2 linked regions of the Arabidopsis thaliana genome follow. The protein of the gene in region 2 interacts with the protein of the main gene of each other region in a pairwise test. Each region holds a gene or a part of one and is shown on either strand. Other genes may lie near its edges.

Region 1 (3,473 bases), 600 kb from region 2:
CACAGGGTCTGCATGATGATACACCTGATCCGTTAGCAATCCTGGACCAAAATGCACTAGCTTTGGCCTTAGTTTCCAATGATGGTGAGCTTCTTGGTCTATGTACTGGAGCTCTAAGTTTGCCTTTCTTGCTTGTCTTTAGTCGCAATTCTGGTTATGTTTCTGTTTCCAGTTGATTCTTCGCCGTTTAGTTTTGGGCAAGCAAGAGATTTGGATCCGTCAGGATGGGAGCTTGCGTTGGTCACAACACCTAGCAATGATATATCTGCAGCCACAGAGAGACAGCTGGTAAGATGTATTCTTGTATTAGTGATAATGGGATGCATCAATTACGTACCATTGTCCTGTTAACGTATGTCACCTCTGGGGAATTGATTTTGTGGCTTCTGAATCATTAACATTTTTTTCTGCAACAAATGCAAGGCGGGTGGATTAGACACGCTCACCCTGAACAGTCTATATGACGATGGAGCCTTGAGAGCAGCCCAACAGCCTGCCTATGGCGTCCCAGCTTCCAATCCGTTTGAGGTCCAAGACCTGTTTGCATTTTCAGACAGTGTTTCACCGCCTTCAGCCGTAAACAACCCATTCGGTCTCTATGAGCCAACCTATCATCAACAAGAGCAGCAGCCACAGCTACAGGTTGCACCCAGCCCTGCAAATCCTTTTGGTGATTTTGGGGAGTTTCCAATAGTTCCGGTTTCAGAACCACAAAGCACCACCAGTTTTGGGGCATTTCCAGTACCGGTTTCAGAGCCGTCAAACACCACCGGCTTTGGGGAGATTCCAGTAGTCCCGGTTACAGAACCGCCAAACACCACCGCGTTTGGGGAATTTCCAGTGGTGCCGGTTTCAGAACCACAAAACATCACTGGGTTTGGGGCATTACCAGTAACCCCGGCTTCAGAACCATCAAACACCACCGGTTTTGGGGAATTTCCAGTAGTGTCGGTTTCAGCACCACAAAACACCACTGGGTTTGGGGCATTACCAGTAATCCCGGTATCAGAACCGTCAAAGACCACCGGTTTGGGGGAATTTCCAGTAGTCCCGGTTTCAGAACCGCAAAACACCACGGGTTTTGGGGAGTTCCCGGTAAACGCAGGTGCTCATGAGCAACATAACAGCAACAACCCCTTCGGCAGCACGGGCTTCTTGTGATCCCATCTTCGTATATTTCTCAAAATGCTTTATTTGTCTCATATGATTCTATTGTTTGTGAGTAGTAATAAAATCACATCATCTTCTAGTCTTGCAAATCTTGTTCTGCTAATAGAGAAAGACTCCTCGGGATTGATTATATAAATGAATTTTCATTGGTGGAAAAAAAATGAAAGATATATATAACTCATTGTGTTACATTAACAAAATAATTTGAAATATGATTAGCAAAAACGCTACGTAGTATGTCGTTTTCTGTTCTAGTAATCCAGCTAGGCTGAACCAATGGCCATTCGTTGAATAAAAAAGGAAGATTGGAGGAGAATTAGGTAATTTAAGGGTAATAGTCAGCAGAAGTCATTCCCATATGTCCACGTCAGTAATCCTGCTCGAGAAAGCTGCTATAAACTCAGAGCCGTTGGATCAACCCGTAAGTTTGAAAACCCCAACCGTCAGATCAACACTACAAGTTAATATGAGAATAATGAGAAAACCACTTTCCCAAATTGCTTTTTAAAATCCCTCCTCACACAGATTCCTTCCTTCATCACCTCACACACTCTCTACGCTTGACATGGCCTTCGATCTCCACCATGGCTCAGCTTCAGATACGCATTCATCAGAACTTCCGTCGTTTTCTCTCCCACCTTATCCTCAGGTGAAGTACACCCCTAAAATCTCTCAATCTCTCTCAATTTAGTTTCTGAAATTTTGGTTGAAATTTGTGTTTAGATGATAATGGAAGCGATTGAGTCCTTGAACGATAAGAACGGCTGCAACAAAACGACGATTGCTAAGCACATCGAGTCGACTCAACAAACTCTACCGCCGTCACACATGACGCTGCTCAGCTACCATCTCAACCAGATGAAGAAAACCGGTCAGCTAATCATGGTGAAGAACAATTATATGAAACCAGATCCAGATGCTCCTCCTAAGCGTGGTCGTGGCCGTCCTCCGAAGCAGAAGACTCAGGCCGAATCTGACGCCGCTGCTGCTGCTGTTGTTGCTGCCACCGTCGTCTCTACAGATCCGCCTAGATCTCGTGGCCGTCCACCGAAGCCGAAAGATCCATCGGAGCCTCCCCAGGAGAAGGTCATTACCGGATCTGGAAGGCCACGAGGACGACCACCGAAGAGACCGAGAACAGATTCGGAGACGGTTGCTGCGCCGGAACCGGCAGCTCAGGCGACAGGTGAGCGTAGGGGACGTGGGAGACCTCCGAAGGTGAAGCCGACGGTGGTTGCTCCGGTTGGGTGCTGAATTAATCGGTACTTATGCAATTTCGGAATCTTTAGTTACTGAAAAATGGAATCTCTTAGAGAGTAAGAGAGTGCTTTAATTTAGCTTAATTAGATTTATTTGGATTTCTTTCAGTATTTGGATTGTAAACTTTAGAATTTGTGTGTGTGTTGTTGCTTAGTCCTGAGATAAGATATAACATTAGCGACTGTGTATTATTATTATTACTGCATTGTGTTATGTGAAACTTTGTTCTCTTGTTGAACAATTATTGCTGCTTTGATTTCATTTTCACACTTAATAATGAGGGGAAAACTATGTAATTGGTAATGCTAAACATTCATTATTGTCACTAATTTAATTATGCTACAGTTAGCAGAAGAAAGAATCACTGTGGAATCAGCGCGGGAGTTGAAAATTTCAAAGGGAATTCAATTAGAAAAATCTGTGAAGCGAATGTGTGTAATCATTATCAATAGGGATTGAAATAGAAACTGTGAACAGAGTATGGAAGCTTTTTGGCATCCCCGTGAACAAAAAGGACAAAACCTTGTTTTCGTAAAGATTTTAGAGTGGGCCACTAATAGACAAACTTTGGGGTCATAGTCAGATGTTCTAATCATCTCACGGGTTTCAGTTCCCCTTAGACATGATGGCCAAAATTCATCCATATCATATCCAAATTCATCAAAGAAAAAAAAAAAAAAAAAAAAACCAGGTTCATGTATCAAATTTACTCATCAAAACCATGTATAATTATCTTCATTACTCATATAGCACACACCATATAAACACATATGACATATATTAATATTAATACAATCAAACATAGATTAATGTATAATTTGAACACCCAAACTCAGAGTTCTAACTCGGTTTCAAAGCCTCGAATACACATTATAAACTAAGCACACAACTTAACACATATATATATACAAGTGTTTTTATAACTTTAGGAATTTCAAGACCTAGCTTAGTTAGTTAGGCTCCATTGTTGGCGTAGGTATTAACGAGAGCGAGCGCATTACTCGTGAACCTCTTGACGTCGGCGACTCTATCGCAAATAGCCG
Region 2 (4,252 bases):
GTCGTTGATAAATGTATATCTAAATGGATCCACAAAAATCAAACAACAATAACGATTATGATGGTGGATTTTTTCTAGTACATTTATTTATTTTCTTTCTTTCTAGTCTTTGGTATCAACAAGTCTAATAATTTTCACTAAAGCTACTGCTGTGTTACTATTTGAACACAACTTGAATTATGTGTGGATGTGTGTTATAGACAAAAGTATACGTAAAATTGCGTGGGCATTTTTAATTGTATAATAGGATTTTATGCTATAATGGAATAATGTTATAGTCCACCGAATTGTATCGAAAGAAAGTGCATATGAACGGAACATTCATTAGATCAATGGTCAATATATTCCTTTATGTAGGTACATAGTAATGTATGCGGCAGGTGTACTATTATCATCATATGTTCAAACTCTAACGCATATACTATATACCATTTCGTAAGAGATTAACAGAGTTTTAATGTTATTCGTTTTAACCATCAAATTCCTTCGAAATAAATAGCTATATATACCTAAGTTTGTAGAGAATCTGAAGATACTCATAGTCGCAGCCAGCGAAAGAAAGAAAACTAAAACACTTTTAGAAACAAATATCTAGATTGAGTTAAGCCGAAAAAGTAGTAGATAGAATTATAAATACATATATATTATTTAACAGCAACATGAATCTCTCTACCAACACAATAATTTCTGAAGCTTAAAATAATATCTTGCAAAAGCTTAAATAGCATTCATTTTAAAATATCTTTCTCTTTGGTTATTTGTATCGGAGTATGGTCTATCATATCATCATACGATTATATACGTTTACAGACCCTGCAAACTTTTTCTCTTTTGGTTGGAGTTATTTTATAAAATTACGTACGCATAAGTCATAACTCCTCAAATCTATATACAAAAAGCAGCAAATACCATAAGCAGTAGCTAATGCATACATATAAATACGAGTTCCCATACACATAAAATGAAAAGAAACCAAGGTAAGATTTGGTAACAACATTTTCATCATCTCATGCTAATAAAACTCTTGAGACATATCTAAGTAACCCTTTTTAAAATTTATCCTATAAATAAAATTTACAGTTCATCAATACAACAAAAACAACTCATGAACCTTTGGTAAACAAGAAGAAAGAAACCGATGCAAATAAAGAAAACGAAAATGGAGTTTTTAAAAATTATTAAAACAACAAAAGAAAAAAAAAAGAAGAAGAGTTGTTACGAGGCGTGAAAGATGCGTTGCTTCTTGCTACACACCAACGATAACATCTCAGTATCGTTCACTCTTTTGTTTCCTACGACGTCGTTTCTTGAACTCTCCGGTGAAATGTTAACTCCGAACAATCTCAAAACCCGACCCGCATCTAAATCTGACCCGGATCTCGACTTCCACCCAATGTACAACTGTTGATCCTGACCGTTAGATCTACTGAAACTAACCACGTCACCAGCACGTAGATTCTTCTCCTTAACGAACCTGCTCCAACCTTTAGTCAAAACATAACTCTGACTACTGTTCCAATACGAGTAACGGAACCTCCACACTTTCCCGTTAACGTCCTCAAAGTTCAACAACACTCCTTTCACGGAAACGTTACTTGACGGTAACGGAAAATGTTTCTCTGCGTGATGTTTCGGTATAACCAAACGGTTTAGCTTCCCAACGTCGCTTGGCGTTACCGCTTTCTCAAACAGTGCCTCCGCCGATCTAAACCCCGTCGTAGAAACACCATCATTACTCAACCCCGACGTTAACAACGTCCTAGTCATGTTTCCGTTACCATTACGACGCCGTTTACTCTGCTCTAACTCTTCGTTATAAGTATGTTTCCTCAACATATCAACGATCTCAGATTTCGAATGAGAATTCAAGAAATCGACCTCGTCTTCGTCCATCTTCACGTCTTTGAAATTTGTGACGGCGTCACGGCGACGGAACCTGTGAACCGCGACGTCGTAGGCACGAGCGGCTTCGTCTTCTTCGTTGAATGTCCCGAGCCACACGCGCTGGTGTTTCTCGTAAATCTGAGCTCCCCATCTTCCGTTTGGTTGTGGCACCACACCTTTGTATTTTGACGACGGAAGCTTCCTAGATTCAGCTTCTACGCCGTTCTCTGAATCTAACACAACGCTTGATCCGCTTCCCATCCTGTATAAGTTACCTACCGACGACTTTTTCGCCGGAGTTATCGCCGGGGTTTCACAGATGGAACCTGTACTTGTAGTACTCTCATCAACGCTACTCGATTCCATTTAATCTGTGTTTTTTTTTATGGTTTGAAACAATGGAGAAAACAGAAATGTGTTTGTGTTGTGTTGTGAATTATGTTGTGTATATGTATACGTGTGTGTGTATAATATATATAGAAAGAAGGAGAAAGAGCTTGGGGGGAGGGAAATAAGAAACAGCAAGTGTCACTTCTGATATTATTATTTTATGTTTCACTTTTTATTTGGTAATAACAAAAAATATATTTGTAAGAATGCGTGTTTGAGGGGAGTAATTATAGTATATGTGCAGGTGCATGGGAAGTAAGATGGGTGTGTATGGGTCAACTCAAAGAACACAAAGGAAGCTTCGTGGAAACATAATGAAATATACGGCATTTAATTTAGGTTACTATATTAGGGTCTATTTCATGAACTGTTGATGTAACTTATAGAAGAAAACACACGAAGCAATAATAATCCTTATAATAAGTTAGTATTTTATTTATGTAAGAAAAAGAGAAAAGAGAGTATAGGAACAAATATAGAAATGAATATGTTGTGGGCTGTGTGCATGGGGAAGTGGGACCCATGTGTGGGCCATGGAATGGATAAAGGGTCCACGTGAGATATTGACATCATTTTAGTGAAGTTCATCCCCCCTGAGTTTTGATGCTTAAAATTTTAATTCACTATAATACTATAGTAACGATAATAACTATATGAAAAATAATAAAATAGAAAGTATTAGATTTGATAACCATGTTCAGATCCTACCGATGTTAAATGGTGTCTCTCTTTAAATTTTTTTCTCTTCCAAATCTGATTGTTATTCTTCACTCTTGAATGATATTATTATTGAAAAAGCTATAAATAGTTGTTTAGTCATGAACTCATGATATATATCTTCTTTATTTTCCATTTCCAGGTTTTTATTCTTCTTTCTATAATCTTATCCTACGTTTCTTTTTATAGAAAAAATGTGTATTGCTATGAGGATTATTGTCCGTATAATATATGCACTCGATAGATTCCAATTCCAAATTCATAAAAAATCTCTCTTTTGTTGTTCTTGTAATTATCCCATTTTATTATATATATATATATATATTTGGTATCAACATTTTATTATATTTGTTTCTCATAAGTGGGTGTATGTAATGTAAAAAGATTTTAAATATGTCTTATATATTTATAAGAAATACTTAGCCAACGAGCGACCGACATCATAACAAGTATTTCTACTGGTCAATAGAAATCCAATTAAATCAGTTGCCTTCAGTGTGTGTGTTTTACTCTTATAGAGAATAAATACGTAAGGATTTAACGCCATAAATTGTTTGCATTATATAATATGGTTTGAGGACAATTAACAAGTGATGTGGATAGCTTACGATCTTATCTGATATATTTGTTGCTTTGCAAAAGTATTCTTCTACCCATTAGTTAGGTTTCATTTTTTATGCAAAGAGCCAATTAGAGAACTGCGAAATATCGTGAGATTCGACTTTTATTGGCTCTCCCTGCTCCAATAGAAAATGTTAACGATTTATATCTCCTTTTTATATCTATTAATTGATTTGCCGGTTTCTATTTGAATTCTTGTAATTATTTATTATAGTATTTATTATCAATTTGATCCACTAGGATGGGAAGTGGGCCAATGACAAATCACTAAGAGGCATGGTCGTACGTGTCTTGTGTGGATGAATAATAATATGGGCATTTCTTGACAGCAGGACAATTACTTTTGTCTTTTTTCGTTTTTTTCTTTTTAAGTTAAAGAGGCATTGCTCAAAATACCTAGGCGCTAATTAGTGTTAGGATTTTTTTGTTTCTTAAGTTTTACCACACATTTTCATCAAAATATATATAAGTAAATTGGCATTTAAGCCCATATGAAAGAAATAAGTGCTGATCAACTTTAATTGATTTTGTTAAAATCAGTGTGGTAGAAAGTAGTGACTGTGTAGATTTATAGACAACACAATAATTAGATAATCACACTCTAATCAAATTTTCAAATTTAAAATCGTATTTTTATGTT

Evidence for each region. The genes of interacting proteins can lie anywhere in the genome.
Region 1: the proteins of RAV1 (region 2) and HMGA interact in a two-hybrid assay, tested with the Arabidopsis thaliana proteins (one large-scale study listed by BioGRID).

The regions. Positions count from the first base shown.
Region 1 is NC_003070.9:5,137,616-5,141,088, reverse strand, and holds HMGA (high mobility group A), read left to right. Parts: upstream 1-1,621; 5' UTR 1,622-1,735; coding exon 1,736-1,819; intron 1,820-1,893; coding exon 1,894-2,424; 3' UTR 2,425-2,973; downstream 2,974-3,473. Other genes in the region: AT1G14910 (ENTH/ANTH/VHS superfamily protein), read left to right, coding at 6-84, 173-288, 424-1,161; AT1G14890 (Plant invertase/pectin methylesterase inhibitor superfamily protein), read right to left, coding at 3,385-3,473. UniProt on the Arabidopsis thaliana protein: Binds A/T-rich DNA with a highly dynamic distribution into the nucleus.
Region 2 is NC_003070.9:4,540,384-4,544,635, reverse strand, and holds RAV1 (uncharacterized protein), read right to left. Parts: upstream 2,469-4,252; 5' UTR 2,251-2,468; coding exon 1,216-2,250; 3' UTR 666-1,215; downstream 1-665. UniProt on the Arabidopsis thaliana protein: Binds specifically to bipartite recognition sequences composed of two unrelated motifs, 5'-CAACA-3' and 5'-CACCTG-3'. May function as negative regulator of plant growth and development.